Linked DNA regions of Danio rerio. The main gene of each other region encodes a partner of the protein of the gene in region 4 in a complex. Links are inferred from orthologs where the notes say so. Each region holds a gene or a part of one and is shown on either strand. Other genes may lie near its edges. The genes, in order: lin7b, dlg1b, lin7c and caska.

Region 1 (7,007 bases), on a different chromosome or scaffold from region 4:
TTTTCCTCCTCCACATGAGTATTTATTTCTTCTCTCAGGCAGAACTGCATTCCACTGTTCCTCCTCCTGAATGACTCACTTTCCTGCCTCTTTGAGATGGCATCTCACTTCAGCTTTATTGTCTCACTCCTTGACTTGTGATAATGGGTTCCAGTAGCAAGAGCCCAGTCTGTTCACTTCTCATTCACAAGAGTCAAACACATTCTTTTACAATTACGTAGTCTTGTCACACTAAATCAGTTTTCACATATCCATCAGGTGTCCTTCTCTCCACGTGGCTGACATTATTGGCGTGTTGGCGTCTGCATGGGAAAAGTAATGATAACATTTTAAAACATGACCAATATTATCTGTTTTAATCACAGAAGTTAAATGAACTGAGATCCTTGTGGAGAGTATATTGAAATTGATATCAGATCAGCTAAAAAGAAATTGTCAGTGAAATATTTACAATCCTCTTGAGTCTATATTGAATGATCAGTTTTTGTTGAACTTTAGTAATTGATTTTGTTATTTTCCATATTGTAAAATTAAGCACATCTCAGTCTCTGTCAATCAGAACTGATATCTATTTAACTGTGCATCTAGAAAGTATTCACAGCGCTTCACTTTTCCCACATTTTTTATGTTATAGCCTTATTCCAAAATGGATTAAATTTGTTTTTTCCTCAACATTCTACACACAATACCCTTTAATGGCAATGCGAAAAAAGCTTCTTCTTTTTTTAATTGTTGAAAATGTGAAAAAAAAAAACTGAAAATCACATGTACATCAGTATTCACAGCCTCTGCTCAATATTTTGTTGATGCACCTTTGGCAGCAATTACAGCTTTAAGTCTTTTTGAATATGATGCCACAAGCTTGGCACACCTGTCTTTGGGAACTTTTACCCATTCCTCTTTGCAGTAACTCTCAAGCTCTATCAGAATTTATGGTAAGCGACGTTGTGCAGCCATTTTCAGATCTCTCTAGAGATGTTCAATAGGATTTAGGTCTGGGCTCTGGCTGGGCCACTCAAGGACATTCACAGAGTTGTTAAGAAGACACTCTATTGATATTTTGGCGTTGTGCTTTGGGTCATTGTCTTGCTGGAAGATGAACTGTCGCCCCAGCCTGAGGTCAAGAGCACTCTGTAGCAGGTTTTCATTCAGGATGTCTCTGTACATTGCTGCATTCATCTTTCCCTCTATCCTGACTAGTCTTCCAGTTCCTCCTGCTGAAAAACGTCCCCACAGCATGATTCTGCCACCACCATGCTTCACCGTAGGGATGGTTTTAGCCTGGTGATGAGCAATGCCTGGTTTTCTCCTAACATAACGCCTGGCATTCACTCCAAAGAGTTAAATGTTTGTCTTATCACACCAGAGAATTATGTTTCTTAGAAAATCTGAGAGTCCTTCAGATGCCTTTTGGCAAATTCCAGACGGGATGTGGCTTCAATGTGGCCACTCTACTATACAGGTCTGATTGGTGGATTGCTGCACAGATGGTTGTCCTTCTGTAAGTTTTACCTCTCTCCACAAAAGAACGCTGGAGCTCAGACAGAGTGACCTTCTGGTTATTGTTCACCTCCCTATGGCCCTTCTCCTCCGATAACTCGGCTTAGATGGCCAGCCAGCTCTAGGAAGAATCCTGGTGGTTTTAAACCTCTTCCGCTAACAGATGATGGAGGCCCCTGTGCACATTGGAATTTTCAGAGCACCAGAAATTTTTCTATAACTTTCCCCAGCCTTGCGCCTCGAGACAATCCTGTCTCGGAGGTCTACAGACAATTCCTTTGTCTTCATGCTTGGTTTGTGCTTTGACATGCACTGTCAACCTTGGGACCTTATGTAGACTTATATGTGTATGCCTTTTCAAATCATGTCCAATCAACTGAATATACCACAGGTGAACTCCAATAAAACTGTTGAAACATCTCAAGAATGATCAGTGGAAACAGAATGTACCTGAGCTCAATTTAGAGCTTCACTGCAAAGGCTGTATATACTAATGTACATGTGATTTTTCAAGTTTTATATTTTTAATAAATTTGCAACAACTTCAAAATGTTTTTTCACATCGTAATTTTGGGGTATTTGGTGTAGGATTTTGAGGAAATAAATTACTTTAATCTATTTTGGAATGAGGCTGTAACATGACAAGCTAAAGCGCTATGAATTCTTTCCGGATGCACTGCATGTTCACTTGTTTATGGTGATAAAAGCCACTGATCACATTGTCAAATTCACTAAATAAACCATCAGATAGTGATCAAGATCCCACTGTATAGCATGAAGGTCTTGTGTTATGTTAAGGTATTATTTTGCAATATTTGCTGATTTGTAAATTATTCCATCAAATAAAGTCAATAGCAAATGTCATAGCTGACAGTTCACCCCTAAATGAAAATTCTGTCATCCCTTAACTAATCCTCTGCTTGTTTCAAATCTGAGTTTCTCACTTCTGAACACAAAAGAAGAAATTAAAAACTGTTTATTGTAGGTATTTCATAGTTGGGAAAACATACTATAGAAGTATTATAAGTCAGTGTTTCGCATCCACGTTCCTAGAGGACCACCAGTTCTGCACATTTCCATGTCTTCTCAACCAAACACACCTGATTCAGATCATCAGCTCACTAGTAGAGACTGAAAGACCTGTAATGGGTGTGGCAGACAAAGGAGACATCCAAAACATGTAGTGTTGGTGGTGCTCCAGGAATGTGGTTGAGAAATAGATAACTTTAAATGTTTGGATCAAGCACAGGATGAGTAAATGAAAGAATTTCTATTTGAGTGAATTATCCCTTTAAATGTGTAAACTATTAAAGGGTTACGTCACCAAAAAATGAAAATTTTGTTATTAATTATTCGCACTCATGTCATTTCAAACTTTTTACACCTTTGTTCATCATCTGCACACAAGTTAAGATATTTTTTAAGAAATCTGAGAGCTCTCTCATCCTCCATAGAACGCAACGTTCCAGAAAAATAACAAAAAACTTTCTCAAAACAGACTATTTGCCTTCAGTGGTTCAATCATAATATTATCTGCTATAAATATACTTTTGTGCGCACATAAAAAAAAAATAACGACTTAATTTACCCGTTTCTTCTCAGTGTCAGTATATTGCGCATTCACAACATGTACCTTTTCACATAAAATATCTTTATTTTTATTGTGAAGAAGAATAAAGGCCTCAGGGCTTTGCAATGACATGAGGGTGAGTAATTAATAAGATAATTTTCATTTTTATGTCAACACTTTAATGTGTGCATTGTCCATTACGTGTGCACATTTAAATATGAACTGAGCCAGAATTGTAGGATATTTCTTTTATCTGAATAAACATAAATGAATTAACAGTGAGCAAAGACGTATTTAGTGTAAAAATGTTTGTTATATATGTATAGGAAATGCTTTAATCTCACTATAAACTCCATTTATGTTGTTCAATATCCAGGCCCATTCTTTTTTTTTTATAGGTCTACGAGCAACTTTACGATACGTTGGATATTATAGGTGGGCCTGAGGTTCGAGCTCAAGCCACTGCCAAGGTAACTTTTTACTTAAAACACAAACAAACAAAAAAAAAAACTGTTAAACTAGAAAGTTCATAGATGTCATAACTAATTTCTGGTCTCTTCTTTCAGGCAACAGTAGCAGCGTTCGCCGCCAGTGAAGGTCATGCACACCCGAGAGTTGTTGAACTCCCTAAAACAGATGAAGGGCTTGGGTTCAACATCATGGGGGGAAAAGAACAAAACTCTCCCATCTACATCTCTAGGGTCATTCCAGGGGGTGTTGCTGACCGACAGGGTGGCCTGAAGAGAGGAGATCAACTGCTTTCTGTTAATGGAGTGGTATGTTGGCATAGTACCATTTTGAGATGTATAATTTAGCCGTTAGATTTTTGTAAGAGACCATGGCCTTGATTTTTCAACTGTCATGAAGCTCCCTTGTTTTACCTCTGATTTGGAAAAGAGGTTTTCTAACTGTAATCAGGTGGGAGAGAAGTGTTGAAAGAGGAAAAACGATCATCTTGTGCTGCTTTATTTTATTTTATTTTTTTACTTTTTGTTTATTTATATGTTATAATCAGGGAGTCAGTCGGGTCTTAAAAAGGCTACAATTTCAGAAACAAAATTTTAGACCCTAAAAAATCGTAAATTCACTGAAATATTGTGTTGTAGGTCTTAAATAATTTTAAACAAATATTCATTTTCCTATGTCCAAGTAAATAAAGTTTTTTTATTGCAAAGAGACACAATTCACAACAGCTGTTAGACATTTTACAGCAAATCCTCCAAATTACATACCTTAATCAGGGACAGAAAACTAAACAACACATTCCTTTACATCAGTGTTTCTAAACCACGTTCCTGGAGGACCACCAGCTCTGCACATTTTTCATGTCTCCTTAACCAAACATATCTGATTCAGATTATCAGCTCATTATCAGAGACTGAAAGACCTGTAATGGGTTTGACAAAGGAGACATCCAAAATCTGCAGTGTTCATGGTTCTTTAGGAACATGGTTGAGAAACATTGCTTTACATGAACTTCCATTGATACAAAAACTATTTACAGTAGTGACCAGATCTTGAAGTCTTAAATTTAAATTGAAGAAACCTGTAGAAACCCTGATAATTTACAAGTTATTGTTTATCAGTAACTAATGATATAACTGTTAAAAATATAATCACGTAAACACACATACGCACATCGCTTTCAGCCCAGTATAAAACATTGTTTTTTAAAATTCAGTTTGTTCTGTAAATACAGATCAAAAGCTGTTTGTGTGTATATATATATATCTTTAGATTCGGTTTTTAAAAAGTGTAAACAGTGTAAATGCTAAGTGTACTAGGATTTAATGTTGTTTTTAAATTATTGATTGCATTTTATTTTACTTTAGCATGCTGCTAATCTCTAATCTGATTCAATGATTTATTCAAAGCTTAAAGTGCTTCCACCAAACCCGGAGATTTGCTGAATGAATAAAAAAAAATAGTAAAACTCAACTGTTAAACACTTGGTAACTTGTTAAATAAAAGTGGAGATTTCCTTTAACTAATACTTTTAGCTAAATTAACTACTAGTTTGTGCTTATTAATAATTAGGTTAATATTAAAATGAGTATTGGGTAGGTTTGGGCTTGTAGAAGTACAAACAAACAGTCAATATCTTAGTAACAGGCCAGTAGTAGGTTAAAAGTTATTAGTAGGAATTGGTACTTAAAACAAGTGCAAAACAAAAGTTGTTTTTTATTCTTGTTGAGCTACACCAAACAAAGAGAGAATGAAAGTGAGTTTGTAGACTTGCAAATGGTCTTTGTTTGTCGATTGTGTGTAGAGTGTTGAAGGTGAACACCACGAGAAAGCTGTAGAGCTGTTGAAGGCTGCGCAGGGCTCAGTGAAGCTGGTGGTGCGTTACACCCCCAAAGTCCTAGAAGAGATGGAGGCCAGGTTTGAGAAGATGAGAAGTGCCAGAAGACGCCAGCAACACACCAGCTACTCGTGAGTGGGACTTTCCCCTGACTCGTTTTTCTGATCAGTTGCTGAAGACATTTGTTCTTTTTTTGTTGAGGCAAAATGTGCATTTTTTTATAGGCCCAATTCCAATTCTACCACTTAGCCCTTCCTCTTATCCCTCCGTTCGCATGAAGAGATAGGGGTGTCCCAGTTCTATTTAGCTTGAAGGTGAAGGGCTAAGTGGAAGGGCTAGACGGTCCTTGAAACTGAGATTTTTTAGGACCACACTCGAAGCCACACTGAAAACCCTAATGTTGTCTTTACTTAAACAATTAAGTAAAGTTGACTAAACATAACTTAAAATTTTGCATTTTGGTGGTATCACTTAAAAATATAAGTTAATTTAACTTATGTAGTTATGTCCTTTCGAGAGAAAAAAATAGTGTGAAACTTCCCGGATGTGTTCTTGATATCGAGGATACTGATGCAGACTTGAGCACCGAACTCGCTCTGGAAGTCCCAGAAGTCATTGCGACTGGAGATGGGAAGCGCAGCATTTTATTTAGATTTATTATTAAAGTTCAGAGATATCACTTATTTACCTTAGGGGTTTCCCTAAATGAAACGGTGAAAGTAAACATTAACATGAACATATTAATAAAGGAATAAACACATTAAGGGTGTTTGTTTGCTGAAATTCGTATTAAAATTAGTTTTATTTATATTGTGCAGGGTATATTTATAATGTTTTTATGCAAAGTATATATTTTGAAGAGGGGAAAAACAATAAATCGTTGTATGAGTTCTGTAATGCTTAAATAATTTCCATTTAAAACGTGCGAAGGTCACGTGACCATCAGGAAGAACGCAGCATTTCATTTCTCAAAGGACGCGTTCTCTGCCATCGCGGTCTCCTGAGTTCGTTCTTCCGAGGACACCTGGCAAGACCGGTCTCCACAAGAATGCAAGTCCGTTCTCTGTGTTCTTGGAATTGAGAAACAGCCTGTTTGTATTGTGAAGTCCTAGTTGGTAAACCTTGCCTTTAAGATCAGCCTAAGGGCTTCCTTATTCAGTTTGCCAAACTTAGCACTAAGTTTGGTGAACTAAACAATTCAAGTATAATCTACTTAAGTACAAAGTTTGGTGAACTGAACAATTTAAGTACAATCTACAAAACCGGCAAGTTAAATAAACTCATACATGCAAGTTTTGGGAGACTCCATTACTCAAATAAATTGAGGCAACAAGTTTACTAAATTAATTTAGCTCAGTCAACTTATTAGAGTTTTCAATGCATGGGGTACGAAAATTTTCCAGAATACACAGGCCACACCAGCAGCATGGCTGTGAATGGAATTTGTTTTGTCATTATTATAAATTTTACAACAAACAAGCACATGTTTTAATACATTAATAATGTTTGTGTTTCACCTCATGTTTAAAAAATCATTTTAAATAGTAATAAATCTACTATAATTCCTAATAATCACTCCTGTGTAGTAGTCCCACAACATGCTTTCACGTCTGACACTCGATGACACTCTGCTGT
Region 2 (7,593 bases), on a different chromosome or scaffold from region 4:
TACAAACAACAGGCTATTATTTTACTTTGTTAACCTCTTGTTAATCTTCATACGTTTACTATCTTCACTAAGAACAGTTTGACTATATTTTTGTTTTCCTATTTTTTTTTCCAGAAATAATCTGTAAGTGTTAACGTAAAGTTATGTGTTACTCTCTAAAAAATACATAAAATTTCCTTTAAAAAGCAGAAAAATATTGTAATACCAAATTACAAGCAATAACTGTACATTTAATGTTAGAATTTTTATAGAACATATCTTTAAAACACCAGGTATTTCACTGTATAATGAAAAAACTGAAAAATTCCGTAAAAAATACAGACAATTACCAGTAAAATAACGTTTATTTTTTACAGTGCATGTTATACCATTTAATGGAACTTTAATTTTTTTGGCTTCAGTCATTTTTGGGGTACTCTTTTGAATCTGAAATCATTAAACAACTAATATCAAAATATATCGTTATCGTTTAATATGGAAAATAATTACAGAGATTGCATTTTGGCCATATCGCCCAGCTCTATTTGGAGTATGCCAATTTGATGGGTGAAGAACTATACACCTTTAAGACTTTAAGGCCCAGTTTCACAAGCAGGGCTTAGAGTAAGCCAGGACCATGGCTATTTAAGCCACATTTATTAAAATGGCCTTAGAAAAATATATTACTGGAGTGCGCCTGGAGACAAAAAAATGACACTGACAGATTTTAAGACATCTCTCTGAAAGTTATTTTGAGTTGAGACAGCTCAAACATGCAATTTAATCTCGACTAGCCTTAAACCTTGTTTGTGAAACTGACTCTATTCCCTTCTCAGATTCATGACTCTGTGACGTTCATTGAGAAATTGTTGCCACAAAAATAGTATTCTAAAGTAAGACCAACTATATTTATATGTCCGTGCAGTCGTGTCATGAGCGTTTTCGTGATGCTTCATACGAGCATTCGGATGATCCTTGAATGGACTTAGCCAGTGTTAGTCGTGTTGCACGCTGAGTGACGCATACATTACGAGAACGGCAGGATCTGAGTCACACTTTGGACAGTGAGGCACACTGACAACCCAAGTATTGTACGTAAAATAGGGGTAATTGACGTTAGTAGTACTACTGGCTCAGAGTCTTTGACTTTTGCACGTTATGTAGGTCAGCATGAGAGAAGTAACTAAAATGTCCAAAATGTTTAATATTAAATGGCCTTGAGGATTGCCTCACTGGCAGAATATAGCAGATGCATGTGCACGCTGTGCGAGAACAGGATCTTATTAGCGGTGAGGATTAGATTAGCGAGTATGGCAGCATTTTGCCACATCCCTCTTAGCTTGACTGCTGATTTAAAAATTTCCTAAAGCAAAGTCACGGCAGAGATCTTTGTCATTGCCGACCCTCCCCCAACATCACTGCCCCTTAAAAGCCAGTGACCCGAGCGGTTTGTCCTATGTGACCATTTCATGGTCGGCCTAATCAAATCAGAAGTAATGGAGAAATTAAGCTTAAGCATCTTTCTGCCAGCTCACTCTCTCCACCGTAGGGATCCCATCAAGAAATGGAGCCATTCTCAGAAGGTCACATCCACTGTCCAGTCAGCTGCCAATGACATTCCGTCATCTTATTGGCCAGGCTCGACGCTCCCCTCCCCCTTTTCTCTCCACTGTGCAAACGTGCTGTAAGTCACTCCAACATCGCTCCTCCTCCTGCATGCGAGGCTGTGCTCCCTGAGGATGTTCATTTGCTGCTCCTCTCCATCTCACTGTTACTGCCTTGGCTTTTTATTTTTTTGCCTTCCCCTCAATGTATTGGGTGACGTAGAGCACCCACGCCGAGGATGAGACAGAGAGAGAGACTCAACCCAACTCGACGTCCATGTGACAAACCCCACGCGCTGCAACAGCTTTATCCCTCCCTCCCTCCCCTCACAGCTCTCCTCCTCTTCCCGCGTTCTCCTCACAACTCGCTGCGTTGTTCAAACTGTGGCATTCTTCACCTTCCCTTTTGGGGGAACGCAGCAGTTGTGTGGTGTCTTCTTGGCGATGACCAAAAGGTCCCGAAAGCTGTTCCTTCACGGATGCATGCACTCGGCATGAGGCCTCCGTGCAAACATCTCCACCGTGACTCACAGCTGTGAAAGGTGGAGGGACGGATCTCGCAAGCCAGTGAAGCAGAAGACGAAAGGCTCTGAGGAAGACCGGAGCAGCGGTGAAGGAGAAGGGGGCGTGTGGACAAACTCGCTGGATGAAGGAAGCAGACTGGCTGTCCCTTCCCTGGCGTGATGGAGTGAGACGAGGAATGAGGGTGGATGGTGAGAGCGGGCAGCAGCAGCAGCAGTGGAGGGGCAGGAGGAGGAGGAGGTGGTGGTGGAGGAGCAGGAGGTGGCCGGAGAGGCAGGAGCAAGTATCGCTCGCGCCGGCGAGTCTCCGGCTCTTCGCTGGCTGATCGGCTCAGCTGCCACAGCGGCGAGAAAATGTCTCCCAGCATCAAGAAGTTGGACTGCTTCTCGCCCATGCTGTGCCACTGCAAAGTGGCCTGCACCAACAGCACCATCTCACTCATGTTCGGATGCAAGGTGGGTGGTGGAGCTGCTTCTCAGGTTCGCTTAATTCACAGGACAGGACAGTCTGTGAGAGTCTGTCCAGCTTTACATCAAGGTGTAGCCAAGAGTGGCAGCCAAAATGCTTGGTACTGCTGCCAGTTGGAACTCCCGAGGCACATGCAATCAACTTGATGAGATAAGAGTTCTCTTCGAGATCTAGCAGACTTCAGAAGTAGACTTATTCTTGCAGAGAGATCTGGCATAACACGTTCATGGACTGAATTTCTTTTAAGGCACACATAATTGAAAAGTTGATGAGATGAGAGGAGTTGTCTTCTAGATGTAAGAGAGTTGGCGTACAGCAGATTTATTGCCTTTTAGTCTCTTCTTAAACAATTTATGTTAGGTTAGGACAGCTAGGTTCTTTCTTTTAGGCTTTTAATTGTTTGTGTTTGTCTAAATGTATAGGATGATCAAGTGTTGAAATATAAGTAGGCCAGATTTGGCTCCCATGAACTAATAGCTCGTCTTTCTTTAGACAATTTAAGGGGTGTAGGGAACGGTGTGCTAATTAGGTTCTTTCATTTAGGTTTTTTTCTCGTTTGTGTTTGACTAAATGTATAGGACAGGGCTATTCAATTAGTTTGTCACGGGGGCCGGTTCATGAAAAGCATCCCAAATGAAGGGCCGGAGAGATATGACTTGCTTTATGAGTGATAACACAACTGCATATAAGAGCCCATATGCTGTTTATTTTCTCCTTAAGACACCCACGTTGGCTTTTTCTACATTAAAATATGAATATGTTGTATTTTGAAACTACATAATATCAGTGCACTGTACAATAGACTTTTCTTGTTTACAAACATGTTCAAATGTTGTATATCAGAGCACAGCAAAAGCAGTGCATTGCTCAAGTAGGCTTTTTCTACTTTAAGACACATTCATGTTTTATTTTTTTAAACTGCATCACAATTATGGTTGTACGATTATATAGTCTAAAGAATAATCATGGGTTCACGGTTATCACGTCTAATGTAAATTCAAGCTTTATATGAGGTAAGTAGCTATTTAGAATAACTGTTGTTGCAACACTATCTCACGGCAATTCGTAACTTTTTCATTTAGTGGCTAATTCGTATGAATTCATCCTTTCTAATTCGTACAATTTAGTACGATTTGCTTATCCCCCAATGACGGTTGGGGTTAGGGGTGGGGTTAGGTGCCACGCCTCCTTTTTAAGATCGTACCATTTCATACGACTGAACTCGTACGAATTCGTACGAATTAGCCACTAAACTGGGAAAACGTAAAATACTTACGTTTTCTCATGAGATCAGGCTCGTTGTTGCCTTCTGCGTTCATACATACAGCACAATCATTTTAATAATAACTCGTCTAACATATATGTTGTTAACATTGCACTGAAAGGCACGCACAACTCTCACCGTAAGATGTTTTCTACTGTGTGCACCCAGAAAGACGCAAGTGTGTTGCTGCGCTTGTGCGCACATATTGTCATATATTATTACATTAAAAATAACAAACTTGCAAGCTGAAAAGACTTGTTATGGGACTGGCCACTGCTATAGTTAATCCGGTGAGTGCGTATTAGCCTCGGTGTACATACATGGAACTTTAAACTAGTGCACAGTTGACAACTTGACATAACTTGGTTTAGTTGCAGCAGTTTCGTTTCGTTCCATGCAACAGAAATGCGGCGTTGACAAGCCTTTACGATTAATTAACTGTGACGAATTCAAGTGCAGTTAATAGTGAAATCGGCTAATCATTGCATCCTGCTTGCCCCACTTGCTTGGCGCACGTCACTTCATAACTATAGCGTCATTTTTCGAATTAACTACATTTATTTTTCATGTCTTATTTGCACTATTTGGAGGGCCAGAATAAATTGCCTCGGTGGCCAGGTTCGGCCCACGGGCTGCCAATTGAATAGCCCTGGTATAGGATGATCAAGTGTAGAAGTATAAGTAGGATCAGGGCATGACCCAGGCCAGACTTGGTTCCCATAAACTAATAGCTTGTCTTTCTTTAGACAATTTAAGGGGTATAGGGGAAGGTGTGTTAATCAAGTTCTTTCTTTTAGGCTTTTTCTTGTTTGTGTTTGACTAAATGGATAGGGTGGTCAAGTGTAGAAAGGTAAGTAGGATCAGGGCATGGCCCAGGCCAGAATTGGTTCCCATGAACCAACAGCTTGTCTTTCTCTAGACAATTTAAGGGCTATTGGGGAACATATCGTCAGATAGATAAGGTTCTATCTGCATTCTGAATGATTTTGAGATATTGAGCATCAAAGTTTTTGCATTCCATAGCAAACAGTATGTGTGTAACATTTTTTTTGTAAATAAAAAGTCTTAAAATGTAAACAACTTATAAAAAAACATCCCATAATGTAAATAAGTCATTGTCATTTAATAAGAATATGTTAATAACACAATTTTGACAAAAATGTCAGATGGAACTATATAATTCTAAGGTGACGATATGCTAATTAAGTTCTTTCTTTTGGGCGTTTACTTACTGTGTGTGTCTGTGTGTGTCTGTGTGTGTCTGTGTGTGTCTGTGTGTGTCTGTGTGTGTCTGTGTGTGTCTGTGTGTGTCTGTGTGTGTCTCTGTGTGTGTCTGTGTCTATGTCTGTGTGTGTGTGTGTGTGTGTGTGTGTGTGCGTGTGCGTGTGCGTGTGCGTGCGTCTAGATGTTTAGGTTGATCAAGTGTAGAAAGGTAAGTAGGATCAGGGCATGACCCAGGTCAGAACCAACATGAACCAACCATGAACCAACAGCTCTCAAATGTACCCAATGCACTACCATAACTCATAATAATATGAGCTCATAAAAGCTAATTACGGTCACACTTTACCATCATGTATTTACAAACATGAACTCATGATAACAATACATGTACAGCATTTTTGAAAGTTTTTTATAATTTATTTTTTAAGTTACTATAATTTTACATTTTTTAAGTTACTATAGTTAATCATTTGTCGCATTCATTGACTTTAACATTAACACAGATAAATAAATACTGTAATGTTCATTGTTTGTTCATGTTGTACAACTTCATTCCGAAGTCTTACCCTAATTGTTAAACAATTATTATTTTTAATAGTTCTAGATCAGATTCACTATATCAAAGCATGTCAAAACTTTCCAAAGATATTCTGTGAAAACTTCTTAACAACTGTAGAAGTGGCTGCTGGTTTTAATGCTGTTCTTTCCTTTTGGAGCTCTTTCTCTTTTAATCAGTCATTGGATTATCTCCGCTCTGACTGTAGTTAACACTCTGCTCCACAGTAATCACTCTCTCTGATGGAGAATGCACACATTTTGTTGTATCAGCTCAGGGTAAAGCCTGCTTGGGCTGTGAGAATGTGTCACAGTAATGCGTTGGCTCTGGCATTAACGGAGCTCAAGAACCTCCTCAGTAAACACTTACAGAAGAAGTGTATTGCTTGGTATTGTGCGAATTTAACAGTAGGTTGAATTGTTATTTTTGAATGGCAGAAGGTAAACTAATTTAATTCTGTCTCATGTTTTTATACTGTGTGTGTGTTTTTATATATCGTTTTTTTCTTAATCAAGCTTATGGTGGCATAATTAAAATGATTATGTGGTCACTATAATAAATCATTACTATACGCAGTGTTTAACGATGCCGCTTTAGACTCTGGCATGATTACTGCCTGTATGGTGCCGTATGGCGTATTATGCCTATTCAAACCGTGGTGTTAATTTCTCAAATCCTTGATGTACAGCCCATAGGATTACATGTCATCTGCTCTGCTTGGGATTGAGAAACAATTGGAATTCACTGTGTATTATTTAAAAGGGAGAGTTCTCTAAAACACAGCATATTTGGTCACCTTTTACAATATGGTTTCATTAGTTAATGCATTTTATATCATACAACAATTCTGTCTGGTTCTCGAATCTGATTGGTTGATAGCCGTGATACATTTAAGTAATATCTGCACCCGTACAGCCTCTTTACTCTTTGTGTATTACTCCGCCCACAAACAGCCAGCAGCAAGCAGACACTACAGTTTGACAAATATTACTGTTGTTACACAACAAAATACAGTTTTGAAGCTTTTTTTAGTCGAGAATGTAGTTGTTTAGATTTCAACTACGCAGTTTATATGCAAGAATAGTGCCTATTTTAAAATATTTACAATTTCTTAGAGATCTCGTCGATGGCCAAAGTGTAGACCCAAGACGGTTGACGCTTTCTATTTACAAGATGGCGACAGAACCGCATAGTAAGCCCTTACGCTTAGAAGCTGATAACAGTCTGATTTCTAACTATAGCATATCAAGTCATTATTAAAGTGGTAAGCATGCCTGACAACACTTTTGTTTTTCATGGGAGTATCCCGTATTTCAGACCATTCTCCCGCAAACATCCCGTTTTTTAGAATTTTTTCTTTTAGGGGTTTTCACCTTTATTGATAGGACAGTGGAGATATAGAGACAGGAAAGCGTTGGGAGCAGAGATAGGGGAAGGATCAGCAAAGGACCTCGAGACGGGAATCGAACTCTGGTCGCTGCGAGAACCTCGGTGCTATGTGTCGACACACTAACCACCAGGCTATTGGCGCAGACAAACATCCCGTTTTTATTTCTTCCTAAAAAAACTACCGTAATTTTACCCACCCCCTCCTTTGTATAGTCTGTAAACACCCCCGGGTTGCAAACTTTGGTACAGTACACGATTGAAGCGGCAGCCCAAAACCCACTGCATCCTATCCCGGTTCTCATCAGTGTTATTATAGTTGATTCAGTTCAGTTCACCATTGTTTCTATAGCGCATTTACAACGTACTGTAGATTGTGTCAAAGCAGCTTAACATAGAATTTGTATTAAATTGAAACTGTGTCAGTTCAGTTTTCAGAGTTCAGTTCAGTTCAGGAGCAAATGTTTATCATTTACATGTGTTTTTAAGACCTGTTTTAATGTATGAAGAGAGTTTAAAGCTTTCAGGCACAAGAAATTGTACCATTTGTAACTTAAATAAAAAAAATAAAAATTATTTATTTAATGTAG
Region 3 (7,762 bases), on a different chromosome or scaffold from region 4:
AGCCATATCACCCTGCAGCCCAAGACCGGTTACTCGCTGAGCCAAGCCAGTAGCTGGATGGGAGACCACATGGGAAAACTAGGTTTCTGTTAGAATTGGTGTAAGAGAGGCCAGCAGGGAGCGTTCAACTTGCAGTCTGTGTGAGTCCTAATGCCCCAGTAAAATTAAAGGGGACATTACACTGTCAGTGGGTGCCGTCTTTCGAATGAGACCTTAAACTGAGGTCCTGACTCTCTGTGGTCATTAGTCCCTCAATCGGCCCTTATGATCATGGCCTCCCAATCATCCCCATCCACCGAATAGGTTGTATCACTGTCTCTCCATTCCACCTATAGCTGGTGTGTGGTGAGTGCACTAGCGCCGTTGTTCTGTGGCTGCCATCACATCATCCATCATGCCGTCCAAACCCAACCCCCCACCCCCCCCCCCACCCCCCATTTATTATTTTATTTAGAAGCGATACAGCTTATTTTCTACCTTTAATATGAAAAACATTTAAAATAACTCATTTTAACTCCAAAAGTGTAAGTTTTTTATTTTCACTTTTTTACTTTTTATCCAAAAAAACATGACTGTTTTAGGCAATGTGTGTTTTAATTTCAGTAATTCAACTTTGATGTTAATAAATGATCATATATAGTAGATAGAGTGTGTTTCCTTCAATTATTTTAAAATTAAGTAATGCACCCTTCATTCAAAAAATCTCTCACTTGTTATATGGGAGTATATTTACTGTCCAAACCTTGTCCATGAACTATAAGGGCAAAAAAATAAAATAAAGTAATCGTTCATTAATAGTAATCGAGTTAAAATGTTCAATTAATCGAGATTTTAGGCCAAATCGCCCAGCCCTATGTTGAAAGATGAATATAAAGTTTATAAATGGACATGCATTTAAGATGAGTGCTGAGACCACATTTCAGCTTTTAACAAAAGCTTTATCGAACCTAATCTTTCCATCAGAAATCTGCTTTATTACAGGCACTCAAGCAAAGCAAAGAACAGCAACTCTGCAGCGAGCATCACTTGTGCAAAGAGTTCAGAGTCTTCAGTGAGCACGACAGATGACCAAGCAGCAGGGAGGAGACCAGTCAAGTGCCAACAGTCTTAGATTCACTACATGGGCAGCAGAACACTAGTTTTATGCCCAGTCTGAAACAGACAAATGGATTGATGCTATTTGTGGACATCAGAATCAATATCTAGTATCCAGTCCTTCTGCACAACAATAACTACGCATGTACTACACTAATGAGCACTTTGTCATAAGCATTAGCGATGAGAGCAATTTCAGTCATAACGACCGCTTGCATAAATGAGCTGAGTACTTGGGCAAAAAAAAAGAGAGAGGAGCTTGTGAGGATGAAACAACATCCGCCTGCTCAATTTTTTGTATTATTAACCTGTCAGTCTTTGGCACATTCATCACACCTTACTTTTTTTTCCCCCTCAGCATCACACAGCGGATCTCATTCACCAATAACGCCTTAGCAGAATACAAATAAGAGAAGTTCTTACCAAAACTTTATTTGGGCATCAATTTGTTATCCTTTTTATGATGTTAATGAATTGGTTGTACTTTAAAAACAGCAGCTGCATGCCCAGAGTTAGTCATTTGCATAAAACGCAGACAAATATCCATAGGGCTTTATGCACAACTTTTCTTTTATAAGCATAAGCCACTCTAAGCTAATAGATGGTGCTTTCTAAAGACTCACCTGTAATAACCTATTTAGATGCTATAAATATATTTTATGCTGATGTCTGGTTAGTTACACTGGAATATCAGACCCATTTTCAAATTAAATTCAGGAACGATGTAAAATAGACTGCCGATAACCCTAAATCTAAATTTTAAAACAAAATTTTTTATTACATTATAACATGCTCATTACATAAATAAATATGTAAGAATAGTTAGAGGCATTCATTATAAACATTATTTATAGGGATACTCCGATTGATCAGCCAGAGATCGGTATCGGCCATTAAACGCATTTAATAACTCAATCGGTACTCTCTGATCTGGCCGATCTCATGAACCGATTGCAAGTGTTTGTTGGAGATGTGTAAAAAGATTTGAATGACCTTGCATGCATTTAGGCCTTTTTACAAACAAAAACTAAAAGTTCTGTGTTTTTGACAATATTGAAAGTTCACTAAAACCTGTCTGGAAATATTACATAAATATATATTTTAACATGAATATTTAATAATATAACTTCTTGTAATATACTTACTGCAATAAACAGTAATGTATATGCCTATTTCCTTTTAGTAAAGAAGTAATGGATTTATAGTGGGGATTTTATCTTCTTATGCATCAAATATGCACTTCTAACTTTTTCTTTACTTATACATGTTGAATTCCTACTCCATCATTTGCATACAAATTGCATTGTTTGTCATTTTTCTTACCAATTTGTTTATGTTTTATCAATGATTTTGTATATACTGTATCTGCTTCTGACCATTACATGTTCACACCTATAAGAGGCTATAAGAGACATGTTTAAGGGATTATATGCAGCAGACATAATTTATTCTCTGGGGTAAGGAGAGATCTCTACTTAAGTATCGTACTTAAAAGCGAAAATGTGCTTAATGTAATATGAAGTTTGAAGCATTAGAATCTGTATTCTGTAACAGATTTGTTAAGGTTAATTCGTAGCATTAAAAAGGTAACCAATGCAAAACAATCCCCAGTTTTCAAACCTAGAAATTTTATAGACCATTTCAATGTGGTAATGTCATTGGCCAATGAACATTTTCTGCTTGTTATCAAACTATTTTATACCTGTAACGAGACAATTTATTCATAACTTGATGTTATAACAGCTATCGTAACACTATTTATCAATATGTGGAACATCTTGGACTCTTAGAATCTTTGGAAATTTAAATAAATTTTAATAAATTAAAAAACGGAAATATGTCAGGACCGTTGTTATTGTTTACATCCCTCAAAATTGTAAGAAGACGTTTAAATTTAACTTGAAAGCATGAATGTGATGTTGGAACACTTACCTCCCTTACGGCCTTGCAGAACTCGCTCTGCAAAACCCTCTGAAGGGCTTGCAGCTTCTGGGGTGGCACTTCCCCTGTTCTCTGGAGCTTGTCCAGCAGCTCAATGGCACGAGATATGTCTGTAGAATAACATATGTAAGACCAAGACCATGGATAATCATTTGCATCATGCCATCTGGAGATGTTGTCTGTGGCTAAACAGCTTTCCCTGATAAATAAAACAACAACACGGACCGCAGATAACATTTTAGCAAATCCTTTCTTTATGACAAATATTATTGTTGTTGTTGTTGTTATTAATATTGCGCCATATATTGTATGTAACGTTACTAGTATATAATTTAACGCTACCCAAAAGAAATAATGTTTGTAAATAAAAACTAAATAACTTAAGAATGAAATTATTTACTATTATAATGCTACTTACCGGTTTCTTCTTGATTTATACAGATACATGTAAATATTAAGATAAAAACAGACGGTCATAAATCAGAGTTTTAGCTGATCTACTAGCCTAAGTTAACTCTACTGTGTATTAAAGCTTCAGTTAAACTCAAAATAAGTTGCTGACTATTAGGACGTCACTGAAAGACTTTACTAACCCCTAGAAATACTCAGATGCACTGATCTCTGACCTGAAGTGCCCATGCTAACAGAGCTCACAAAAGATTAACGCTTTTGACAGCTACCCTCGTGTTTTCCTTTCGTTGAACGTAAACTCACCGCTTTAACGACATATAAATGTCCGTATTGCACATTTTATACGTTTTGTGAACGTAGTTTAGTTTATAGAAAAACGTGTATGATCTCGAACGGTGAATTGATGCTAGCTCTCTGTCGAGCACTAATCCATCCTCACGAAGTGACAGCGGGAGAACAAAAAGCGTGATTTACACAACATCCTGCTTCACGTACGGCAGAAAGTGTCTCGGTGCGCGGCTTACCTCTTTCCAGACGTACAGGTTCTCCTAAAGAGGCCATTATAGCCCTGGTTGTTGAGTTTGCGTTTGGTGAAAGCTCCAGAGTTGCGACTCGGCGGCTGTGTTTGTTGCTGTTAGCTTGCTGAGCTTAAGCGTTGTGGCTAATGCACCGAGATTACGGATGAGCGTCAAGAGCGTCATTCCTGCGTTGCTTCCGCGCAGACACTTTGCATACCATAACAAACTGACTTTATTATGATTTTCTCAATGAAATTGGAATATATTATATATAATTTTAACATTAAACAATATATTTAAAGCAAATATGGACTGTTCGACTTGGTATTTTGTTTAGGACATCGAGTTTGACTGCATAAATTATTACAATTCAGATAGTAGACACGTGTAATAGGGCTGTTTTACTGTCAGTAATATGTTACTGGACTAGTTAAGAAAATAATGTTATGGCAGCTATACAGTGATATATGGTCAACAACATAACCCACGCTCAATTGGATAATGTATTAGCCAATCAGAATCCAAGGGCAGAAATATTTCCATACATTTTAAACCATATGAATGAATAGTTTATTCCAGGTAAGGAATGCATTTATATATGATGATTTATTTATTTATTTATTTATTAAATTTTTTTTTTACAATTCAGACTACAACTGTTTATTTTAGAAATCTTTAGGCACACTTTAGGGTATTATTTTTGGGTTATTTTGACATCAGATGATACATTTAAAAAACTTTAACAATGTTATCACATTACTATCAAGAAATATATGACTGTGTTTTCATTGTTGGTTCTGTTATATTAGTTACATGAAATATGTTTACTTATATATTATTTAAATAAAAATTATTTGTTGCTAATGCTAAAAAATGTTAAGATTAATTAATGCTTTAAAAATGTTTATTTTGTTGAAGTAATTAATGATAACAAATTACATATTTTTGTAAAACTATTTTTCTTAGAAAAAACATTTATAGAGGATACAAATACATATATATGACTTTGAAATATTAAATATTGATGACCAAACGGCACGTTTTTTTTTTTTATCAAGCAAAAATAATTGTTGTACTTTTGTATTTTTTTCTTTTTTTTTATATTTCCCAAATTATGTTTAACAGAGCAAAGAAAGTTTTACAGCATGTCTGATAATATATCTTTTTCTGGAGAAAGTCTTATTTGTCTTATTTTGGCTAGAATAAAAGAAACTTTTATTTAAAAAAATAATAAAATTTAAGGTCAAAATTATTAGCCCCTTTAAGCTATATATTTTTTGATATACAGAACAAACCATCATTATACAATAACTTGCCTAATTGCCTAGTTAAATTAACCTTGTTAAGCCTTTAAATATCACTTTAAGCTGTATTGAAGTGTATTGAAAAATATCTAGTAAAATATTATTTACTGTCATCATGGCAAAGATAAAATTAATCAGTTATTAGAAATGAGTTATTAAAACTATTATGTTTAGAAGTGTGTTGAAAAAATCTTCTTTCCATTAAACAAAAAATGGGGAAAGATTTTTATTTTATTTTTATTTATATATATTTTTCAAATTATGTTTAACAGGGAAAGGAAATTTTCACAGCATGTCTGATAATATTTTTTTCTTTTGGAGAAAGTCTTATTTGTTTTATTTAGGCTAGAATAAAAGCAGTTTAAAAAATTTTAAACACTATTTTATTTTCACCAAAATAAATCAGTTATTAGAAATTAGTTATTAAAACTATTATGTTTAGAAATGTGCTGAAGAAATCGGCTCTCCATTAAACATTGAGGAAAAAAAAAAAAAAAAATATATATATATATATATATATATATATATATATATATATATATATATATATATATATATATATATATAATTTGTATTTACTTTTTCCATATTCTCATTTTTTATTTGGACTGCCCTGCTTAAACAGTAATTTTATGAGTTTACTTGCTGTTATTGTGGAAAAAGAAACAGAGAATAGAGTGGCCTACTTCTGTAGCAAATGGGACAGGGCCCTGCTGGGTCTTACCAAGGACTACTTTGAACTGGGGAAAATCTGATCCTCACAAAAATAATGCAAGTTGTTTCTCAGATAAAATGCACCAGAAGAATGTTTTATTGTCCATTTCTTTATCTAGTCCAGTCACCATTGATTTATATTTTGCAGCTTCATATTTGTTCCTATAAGGTTAAGCAAACACTTACTCATTAAGCAAGGCTGATAGCTATTATTATGCTTTCATATCAATATCCTTGGGTACACAAATTTAATTTGAGTTGTGTTTCTGATAAAGGATGCACTTATAATCAGTTTTGACTTTCCGCCTGAGCATCCTTTATGGTCCTGCCCATGTGTCTCATGATGCAGAGATACTTACCATGAACAGATGAAACTCCTCCCTTATCTGTGGCAGTGTATCAGTGTCAGACAGATTTCTGTTCAGTTGTCTGATAACAACCTTTGAAGGAAAGCAGGTTTGTGTATAGGTCTGTGTCTGTGTTCAGGTGTATCAGATATCACGCAGAGTGCATTGGAGTGTTGACTTCATTGATCTATCCTACAGACAAAAGAAAATCCTAATCTCTTAGTGCTAGTGATGATTGCCTTCTCCCTCTGGACAACATTACATGAGAGACTGGTTTCCATAGAATTTACATATCAAGTCTTACCTGAGAACTTTCTAGAGTGTTTGTTGTTCCACAGAACACATCAGAATTTACATTGGATGGATGTGTTCGTCTGCATTTCTGGCTTTGAGATTTCACATTAGCTTGGTAATACGGATATAGACATACAGTTGAAGTCAGAACTATTAGCCCCCCTTTAATTTATTATTATTCTTTTTATATTTACCAAATGATGTTTAACAGGGCATGGAAATTTTCACAGTATGCCTGATAATATTTTCTCTTCAGGAGAAAGTCTTATTTATTTTGATTTGACTAGAATAAAAGCAGTTTTTAATAAAAAAAAATAATAATAATTTAAGGACAAAATTATTATCCCCTTTAAGCTATATAGTTGATAGTCTACAGAACAAACCATTGTTATAAAATAACTTGCCTAATTACCCTAACCTGCCTAGTTAACCTGGTTAAGCCTTTAAATGTCACTTTAAGCTGTAAAGAAATGTCTAGACAAATATCAAGTCAAATATTATTTACTGTCATCATGGCAAAGATAAAATAAATCAGGTATTAGTTATTAAAACTAATATGTTCAGAAATGTGTTAAAAAAATCTTCTCTCTATTAAACAGAAATTGGGGAACAAAGAAACAGGGGGGAGGCTAATAATTCTGACTTCAACTATATATGTTGAGAGGATGGGAAATAAATACTTATATACTGTAGTGTATATACTTATATCTATCATTATCCCTTTTGAAATCATATGAATGTAGGATCCAAAGTATGTTTGCCTGCGAGAGAAGATGTTCTCTGCACAGCATGTGCCAAATTTCGACCTGTAAAGGGAGAGCTCAAACTTTATTGACATTGGTTTTGTTTTTCAGTTGCCTATAGTAATTTTATTTCTTCAAATATTTCAATTTAATATTGCAAACAACTTCACAACATACAAAATGAATTATATTAATCCAGAACACATGTCAATGAATAAATTTTATATATATATATATTTTATATATTTTTTTTCATCTTGTGGGGATAAAAAAATAAACAGCAAAGCTTTGACAACAGCACCTTGACATAGTATGTATTTCCAACATTACCTTGAGAAGTTGAGGATAGTAAACAGACAGAGTACTGAGAGGAGGAAATCCTGTTACGGTTGAGA
Region 4 (7,794 bases):
AGGGGTTACGTTCTAAAAATAGCCTGCTACCGTGCCTTTGACAGTGCAGTTGTCAACAATATGGGGTTTGTTGGCGAGAAAACTTGTGAACATACAGTACAGCACTTCAGTCACATTGCTAGCCTTTGAAGGTTTATGTAACTTTGGAAAGCTAAACGTGTTCTGTACTGTACAGGAAACACAGCATGGAGAAGATTGATTGACAATGGTCTACAGCCAATCAGGACGCAGAACACAATACGCTTAAAAAAACCAAAAAAACCCAGCATGTTTAATTGCAAACTGCAAATCTGCGAATCTGCAAAACTGCGGAAGGAGAATCACATTATAGCAAGGGACTACTGTACAACAAAAACATTCTTCAAGTAGATTCCACAGGTTGTTGTGAAGACACTGGGAGTTTCTGTAGTTTTCTCACATAAAACAGAAAATGCTTGTGAGTGAATCTCTCGGCAGGTCTGAAGATGAGGCTGATGTTTTCATTCACTCAAAGTGATACGGCAGATGCTAAAAAAAAACAACAACACAGGCATCACATGCTTGAGTATGAGATATAACTGCACAATTACTGCACACAAAACATGCAGACTTCATTATTTCAAAATGTTTTTTACTAGATTAATATTTACAGATGGAGCGGCGCTGTGGAGCAGTGGGTACGACGATCGCCTCACAGCAGGAAGGTCGCTGGTTCGAGCCACGGCTGGGTCAGTTGGCATTTCTATGTAGAGTTTGCATGCGCTCCCCATGTTCGCATAGGTTTCCTCCAGGTGCTCCGGTTTCCTCCACAGTCCAAAGACATGCGGTACAGGTGAATTGGGTAAGCTAAATTGTCTGTAGTGTATGAGTATGAATGAGAGTGGGTGTTTCCCAGTGATTTGTTGCAGCTGGAAGGCCATCCGCTGTGTAAAACATATGCTGGATAAACTGGTGGTTCGCTGTGGCGACCCCAGGTTAATAAAGGGACTAAGCCGAAAAGAAAATGAATGAATATTTACAGACACTACAGTCCACATTGCAATAACATTTCTGATTTATGCATTCAATATATCCTAAATTCCATAACATTCTGCATTAAACTGCTAATTCTGTTTTTATTCCAGGATTTCACAAATCCATCCTGTGTTGTACAAATCATAGGGTTACTACATAAATCATTGTACGACAAAGATCTAATGGAAACGGCATCAACAGGGTTTTCCAGTTTTTCCATTGCTTTATTTTTGTTGGCTAAATTTTCACCCATACATTTAAACATGCCTAAACATAGCTGTTTAAGAAAATCCGCCATCGTATGCATCCTAACTATATGTTGTTTTGTTATTATGAGACAGTTACACGCACAGAACTGCTTTTAATTACAAACTCTGAAATCCCAGAGTACCATGTTGAGAGCTCTAATTACATGGCATTTCAAATTTACATGCACCACACTGAAACTCAAGCAAGCAATTGCACATCAATAACAGCTGGAGATAACCTGCTTACATAATACAAATACACCAGATTGTCTCATAACAATAACAGTAAAAACAATATGTGAATGTTCCATTCAGTAGGACTACAATCTAAAAATGGTACTTCGTTTCAGTTTAATAGGAAAAGCTCTAGACCTGCTGATACATGCAAGGCTGTGCCCTTCATCAGAGCAAATAGTCACCAAACTCGTAGTGTGGCTCGACAAACCATTAAATCAGAAACATCTTTAATCTTTATTGTTTTAGATCTTTATAACTTAATTCCCTAAAAGGTTCAACGCTTATTACTTTAAGCCAGTCTACAACTTTACTACTGTTGCAAGAATGTGACGCTTCAATGTAGTCTAATATTTATATTTTATTATAAAATGTACAAAAACACAAAGTTTTAAGATATTACATTCAGAGCTGCACAATATATCATTTCAGCATCAATAGCGCAATGTGTGTCCCCAATAGTCACATCGCAGGATCTGCAATGTTAATTTGCATATTATAGTTGATCAACCATTGAAAATGCATGAGATTTGAGGAGTCATTTCAATTAATAAGCATAATGGATTGTGACTATCATTAACATTTGTAACTTTACTGAAGATAAATTTTACTGATTTATAAATATAATAAAGACTATACAGTAATATTTGACATTATATTATTAAATGTCTGTATCTGAATACTGTTTGACACTCCGGAAAACCATAAATAACTGTTTATTTAAATTTTTTCTTTACTCTATTGTAATTATTCTTGCAATTTAATACATGATTCACAGGCATCCAAAATCAACCAATCAATAATTCATTTATTTTATTTTGTTTACACAAATAGAGCTATTCAAGCCATCTCGTGAAACTGTATTCATATCGCAGCAAAACAAAATATCGAAATGACAGATTTGTTCAATATCATGCTGCCCTAATTACATTACACTATTTTATATTATATTACACTCTGGCTTTCAAGGCTACAGTGTGAATGTGAAAAAAATCCAAATAAAAGCAAAGTTTTAACTGTCAAATATCACATTTCACAGCAATAATGAAAAACAAATTCTCATATTTAAGTCTGCATCTATAAAAATATGTAAAAAGTAAAGAAAATGAGAAAATGGCGCTATGGTGGTGCAGTAGGTAGCACAACAGCCACACAGCAAGAAGATTGCTGGTTTGACCCCCGGCTCGATCAGTTGGCATACCTGTGTGGAGTTTGCATGTTCTCCCTGTATGTGTGAAAGTGTGTATAGGTGTTTCCCAGTGTTGGGTTGCAGCTAAAAGGGCATGGGCATCCGCTGTGTGAAACACATGCTGGATAAGTTCATTTCTCTGTGGCGACCCCAGAATAATGAAGGTACTAAGCCGAAAAGAAAATAAATGAAAAAAATAGGTACTCTCTTCATCAATCTAGCACAATTTTCAGTAAACTGTGAGAACCCCTTCGCAAACATGTCCAAACTTTTCAGCTTAACCCTGCCCCTTCTGATTGAGTCCCCACCCCCAACTCCCAGCTTGGTACTGGATACTAGTTGTGGTCAGCAAATTGTAGACCTGTATTTTCTGTATGTAAGATTGAACTAGTGTTTTTTTTTTTATTATTCATTTATTTATTTTGTTAAAAATATTCTTCAGTGTATTTGCTTATTGTTAAATGTTTATGTTGTCATTTTTGTATATTTTTGTAATGCGTTTTACAACATAAATACAACATTAAAAAAGTAAATAAAATACACAAATTATTAAATAGCAATTACATTGAATATTATAAACACACATACACATACATAATACTAATAATGCATTGCATTTAAGGCATTTATTATGTTATACTCACATCAAACAACTATTTATAATACTAAGGTAAAGTTTGCTTTATATTCCAAATATTTACATATTCAGACTTTGTCCTTAATAATATAATTTCAGAAAAATATTAGCAAATTCTGAATAGTGAAATCATATTAGCAGCCAATGACTGAAGTACAACATTGTTCAGTCAATTAAACAGTGCTGATGTTGTTGTGTGGTGATACTTAAATGCGATTTCAGAGCAAATATTCAAAGTAGCGTGGTAAACAATACAATGACCATTAAAATAAACAGATATGTGAATATGAAACCCACTTTACCTCAATATTATAATGGCTAGAACTCTCAGCACACGTAAAGTACAGGTATAGTGGTCAATACCAGTAACAACTACAAACGAACAAGACTGCAAGCACAAACCTGACATTTCTAGATAACACATGAAAGCCAGGTGACACGAAATTGGTTTATCCACCAAAACACAATCATTTGCAGAAACATCAACGCTGACAGCAGTAGAGGAAGCTATGCAAAAACAATAGTAGTGGATGGCATCTAACGTTACCTGCACGAACGCTCAAAGTACACTTCTCTCATCTCTCACACTCGCCACTCCCATTCCTCATTGCTCCAGCCTCAGACAACATGCAGTTTGTAAAGAGTTACGACTGAATCTAACTATCATGTGTTCAACAGCACAGCACTGCAGCACAACAGTCTGAATTTCACGCAATGACAACACTCGTCTGGCAGACAAACACACACACACAACGCAAAAGGCGCAGCTCGAGTCACAGATGGACATTCACCCGTGTGTCATTATCAAAGTGAGACTTACTTGCCAATGACCTCACACAGCTCGTAAACATCTTCAAAGAGCACGTCGTCGTCGGCCATGGTCCAACAAGAGCGGGGAATTTACACTCCCCCTCCAAAATCCGTCCAAATGGTAAATATCAGAGGATTACCGAGCAGACACTTCAGAGTACCTGGAATGAGCGCCGCGAAAGAAACGCTGACAGCCGATTGTATCGCTCTCCAAATTCCGATGAACGGCGAATGGTTGATTCCTGTCGGTTTTGGGTGGGAAAAATTATCCTTTGGTGGTTTGGTGGAAGCGAGCGGACAGTAGTGAGCGCTCGGTCCGTTTGACTCACCCTGCCCCACCTTCTCCTCCCTCTCTCTCGGCCCCCTTAATCCCGCCACTCGAGGCTGAGGTAATTCAAACGTTAAAAACAACTCCACGATAATCGCTGCCGAAGTCACGGAACCAAGTGGGTTAAGTCGTTTAGACGCTAAACTAACTAACTCGAGCCGGGGGAGAAGACGTGCACGCGGTTTGTTTGTGTGTTCAAACGCAAGCTGTTGTTAAAGTGCGCAGTTCAGTTGATTCCACTCATTCTAGCCACGCGCGGCTTCGGCTTTTCCCTGTGCGCGCTCACGCTGACTGTCCCTGCTCGCCGCCGTTGCTCTAGTTCCCCCTCATAACTCCAGCGCTGCTGCTCCCAGCTTCCAGAAAACCCAAACTCCTCCCACTCGCGCTTATGAAACTGGATTGCCTTACGCCATAATGGCTCCGACAGGACTTTCGTATTCCGGAATTCCCGCATAGACTGGCACGTGCGGTTGAGCCAAAATGACGACCAGGCGTCTCAGAGTTTGTTGGCTGAAGCGACAGTTTACCTAGATAAAAAGCGTATTGAACTGCGCTTGAAAATCTTTAGTTGACTTACTAGCTTGACTATATGTTTTTGTAGACATGTGTTTATGTAATAATAATAAAAAAATATTTGAAAAGTGGTTTGGGGAATAAAACATTATTGCACATAATTATTGGCAATACATACACATACTGTATAATAAAGCAGACAACATCATAGGTGAACATTCATTTCCACAATAATACGCCATAATATGATGTATTTAATATGAGTCTATACGAGATATCTTTAAGAGTAGCTATAATAAATATACACTAACAGGCCACTTTATTAGGTATACCTTACTAGTACCATGTTGGAGCCGCTTTTGCCTTCAGAATTGCCTTAATCCATTGTGGCATCGACTCAACAAGGTACTGGAAATATTCTTCAGAGATTTAGCTCAATATTGACATGATATCATCACGTAGTTGCTGCAGATTTGTTAGTTGCACATCTATGATGTGAATCTCCCGTTCCACCACATCCCCAAGGTGCTCTATTGGATTGAGTTCTGGTGACTGTGGAAATCACTTGAGAACAGTGAACTCATTGTCATGTTCAAAAAACCAGTTTGAGTGATTTACGCTTTATGACATGCCGTGCTATCCTGCTAGTAATAGCCATCAGAAGATGGGTACACTGTGGTCATGAAGGGATGGACATGGTCAGCAACAATAATCGGGTAGGCTGTGGCGTTGACACAATGCTCAATTGGTACTAATGGGCACAAAGTGTGCCAAGAAAATATCCCCCACACCATTACACCACAACCACCAGCCTGAACCGTTGCAGCAGAAATCGAGACTCATCAGACCAGGCAACGCTTTTCCAATCTTCTATTGTCCAATTTCAGTGAGCCTGTGTGAATTGTAGCCTCAGTTTCCTGTTCTTAGTTGATAGGAGTGGTACTCAGTGTGGTTTTCTGCTGCTGTAACCCATCCGCCTCAACGTTATATGTGTTGTGCTTTCAGAGGTAGTTTTCTGCATACTTCGGTTGTATCGAATTCGGTCATTCTCCTCAGACCAGCCCGTCTCGCACCAACAAATATGTCACGTTCAAAGTCACATAAATCGCCTTTCTTCCCAATTCTGATGCTCGGTTTAAACTGCAGCAGATCGTCTTGACCATGTCTACACGCCTAAATACATTGAGTTGCTGCCATGTGATTGGCTGATTAGAAATTTGCATTAACAAGCAGTTAAACAGGTGTACCTAATAAAGTGGCCAGTGAGTGTATGTTGCCACATGAAAATGAACCATACCTGCAAATTAAATAGACATTTTAAACAACATGGTAACCAAAATGATTTTACTATACACTAAACCTAGTTTAAACTCTCATATAAATGTTCAAAAACTGCAACTGAGTTACTTTTCAAAATGTATGCACTAATTTACAAACACTGTTTAGATCCTTTCGGTAGAAACATGTACCTTTTGAAAAGGAACCGTCCATAGACAGCTTTTTTTAACCTTTATTCTGGGGAGTGCATAGTATTTTGTAGAAATGAATCATAGATGTTAAAATATTTCCACAGAGATGAAAAATAAAGTGATTTAATAGATATATATGTCTCTCCATAGATCCATATTAAACACAGTAAATAAGAGTTTTAGTATTGCGGGTCATCGTTGAATGTCGAATAAATGTTTAAAGCCCCTGCATGTTTTTACATCTTACCACACATTCAAGCATGCAGTAATCGATGGATCTAAATTAAAAATCGTACTGCAACTACACAATCTCAATATAATCTTGTATTTGGATTCCTTGGCCTTATCTTTTCTTTGTTGTTAAGATCAGCTGCAGTCAGAAAACTCTTGCTCTTTCATTAATTGAAACTGGTTCACTCTTGACAAACGCAGTCTTGCTGAAAGATGCATGCTGCTGCTTTTAACAAAATACTTTATTCATGCATTATTCATATTACAAGAAATCCATCTAAGATTAAACAAAATGACTTGATTGTGCTATTAGTCTTTAACTCTAGATAGTCCACTAATTCATTTTTCTTAATGGAAGCAACAGCAAATTATATTTTCTTAGTGTCAAATTGGCATTTTAACTGATCACATTATGTAAATTTGAATGAAATTCATCCTGATTATAACTTGCTAGACTATTAAACAAAATAAATCAAAATAATTAAGATATTTTTTGTCTATTTCATGTCCAGAGTCTACACACTGGCCTTTTTTCTTAAAATGGACTCAACAATTATGGTAAACAGCTAAACCTCTATGGCAGGAGTCACCAATCCTGGTCCTGGAGGGCCGGTGTACCTGCAGGGTTTAGTTCCAACTTTCCTCAACACACCTGCCTGGATGTTTTAAGTATACCAAGTAAGAGCTTGATTAGCTTGTTCAGGTGTGTTTGATTAGGGTTGGAGGTAAAATCTGCAGGACACAGGCCCTTCAGGAACAAGTTTGGTGACCACTGCTCTATGGTTTATATATAGTTAAAATCCGAATTATTAGCCCCCTTTTGAATTCTTTTTCTTTTTTTTAAATATTTCCTAAATGATGTTTAACAGAGCAATGATGTTTTATTTTAGCTAGAATAAAAGCTTTTAATTTTTGAAAAACAATTTAAGGTCAAAATTATTAGCCTGTTTAAGCTGTATTTTTGCAGAACAAACCATCGTTATACAATAACTTGCCTAATTACCCCAACCTGCCTAGTTAACCTAACTAACCTAGTTAAGCCTTTAAATGCCATTTTAAGTTGTATAGAAGTAGAAAAATATGAGAAAGAAAAATATCTAGTCAAATATTATTTATTGTCATCATGGCAAAGATCAAATAAA

What was found.
Region 1: the proteins of caska (region 4) and lin7b are in contact, whole or in part, in an NMR structure (PDB 1Y74), measured with the Mus musculus proteins. The link is inferred for Danio rerio from reciprocal best matches to the Homo sapiens genes CASK and LIN7B. Residues at the interface, in NP_001271432.1 of Mus musculus: Ala405, Arg408, Ala409, Glu411, Val412, Glu415, Ile416, Tyr419, Glu421, Asn422, Asp424, Ala425, Glu427, Leu428, Ile431, Leu432, Gln434, Phe437, Ala439, Leu440, Leu441, Thr443, His444, Val447, Ala448; in NP_035828.1 of Mus musculus: Leu10, Asp13, Val14, Arg16, Ala17, Leu20, Leu21, Arg23, Leu24, Ser27, Glu29, Leu30, Pro31, Pro32, Lys34, Leu35, Ala37, Leu38, Val41, Leu42, Ser44, Phe46, Cys47, Ile50, Arg51, Tyr54.
Region 2: the proteins of caska (region 4) and dlg1b are in contact, whole or in part, in an NMR structure (PDB 1RSO), measured with the Rattus norvegicus proteins. The link is inferred for Danio rerio from reciprocal best matches to the Homo sapiens genes CASK and DLG1. Residues at the interface, in XP_038955489.1 of Rattus norvegicus: Gly339, Ala342, Ala343, Arg345, Ala346, Val347, Gln349, Val350, Ser353, Leu354, Glu356, Ile357, Leu360, Thr361, Asp367, Leu368, Phe370, Leu371, Ser373, Val374, Phe375, Asp377, His379, Leu380, Thr382, Leu383, Leu384, Asp385, Leu386, Tyr387; in NP_036920.2 of Rattus norvegicus: Arg4, Asp7, Thr8, Arg10, Ala11, Leu12, Leu14, Leu15, Tyr18, Lys21, Leu22, Glu26, Asp27, Leu30, Ser33, Ile34, Arg36, Val37, Ser39, Ile40, Phe41, Ser43, Leu45, Phe46, Leu49, Ile50, Gln53, Glu57, Val58, Leu60.
Region 3: caska (region 4) and lin7c share a complex: the UniProt entries of both Homo sapiens proteins name them as parts of the brain-specific heterotrimeric complex. The link is inferred for Danio rerio from reciprocal best matches to the Homo sapiens genes CASK and LIN7C.

Annotation. Positions count from the first base shown.
Region 1 is NC_133178.1:30,726,650-30,733,656, forward strand, and holds part of lin7b (protein lin-7 homolog B), read left to right. Parts: intron 1-3,468; coding exon 3,469-3,540; intron 3,541-3,636; coding exon 3,637-3,846; intron 3,847-5,339; coding exon 5,340-5,503; exon of another isoform or gene 5,504-5,751; intron 5,752-6,741; exon of another isoform or gene 6,742-7,007. UniProt on the Homo sapiens protein: Plays a role in establishing and maintaining the asymmetric distribution of channels and receptors at the plasma membrane of polarized cells.
Region 2 is NC_133177.1:5,300,749-5,308,341, reverse strand, and holds the start of dlg1b (discs large homolog 1-like protein), read left to right. Parts: upstream 1-2,458; coding exon 2,459-2,560; intron 2,561-7,593. UniProt on the Homo sapiens protein: Essential multidomain scaffolding protein required for normal development. Recruits channels, receptors and signaling molecules to discrete plasma membrane domains in polarized cells.
Region 3 is NC_133182.1:31,964,859-31,972,620, forward strand, and holds the start of lin7c (protein lin-7 homolog C), read right to left. Parts: upstream 4,127-7,762; 5' UTR 4,009-4,126; coding exon 3,972-4,008; intron 3,147-3,971; coding exon 3,028-3,146; intron 1-3,027. UniProt on the Homo sapiens protein: Plays a role in establishing and maintaining the asymmetric distribution of channels and receptors at the plasma membrane of polarized cells.
Region 4 is NC_133184.1:35,294,659-35,302,452, forward strand, and holds the start of caska (peripheral plasma membrane protein CASK), read right to left. Parts: upstream 4,727-7,794; 5' UTR 4,181-4,726; coding exon 4,122-4,180; intron 1-4,121. UniProt on the Homo sapiens protein: Multidomain scaffolding Mg(2+)-independent protein kinase that catalyzes the phosphotransfer from ATP to proteins such as NRXN1, and plays a role in synaptic transmembrane protein anchoring and ion channel trafficking.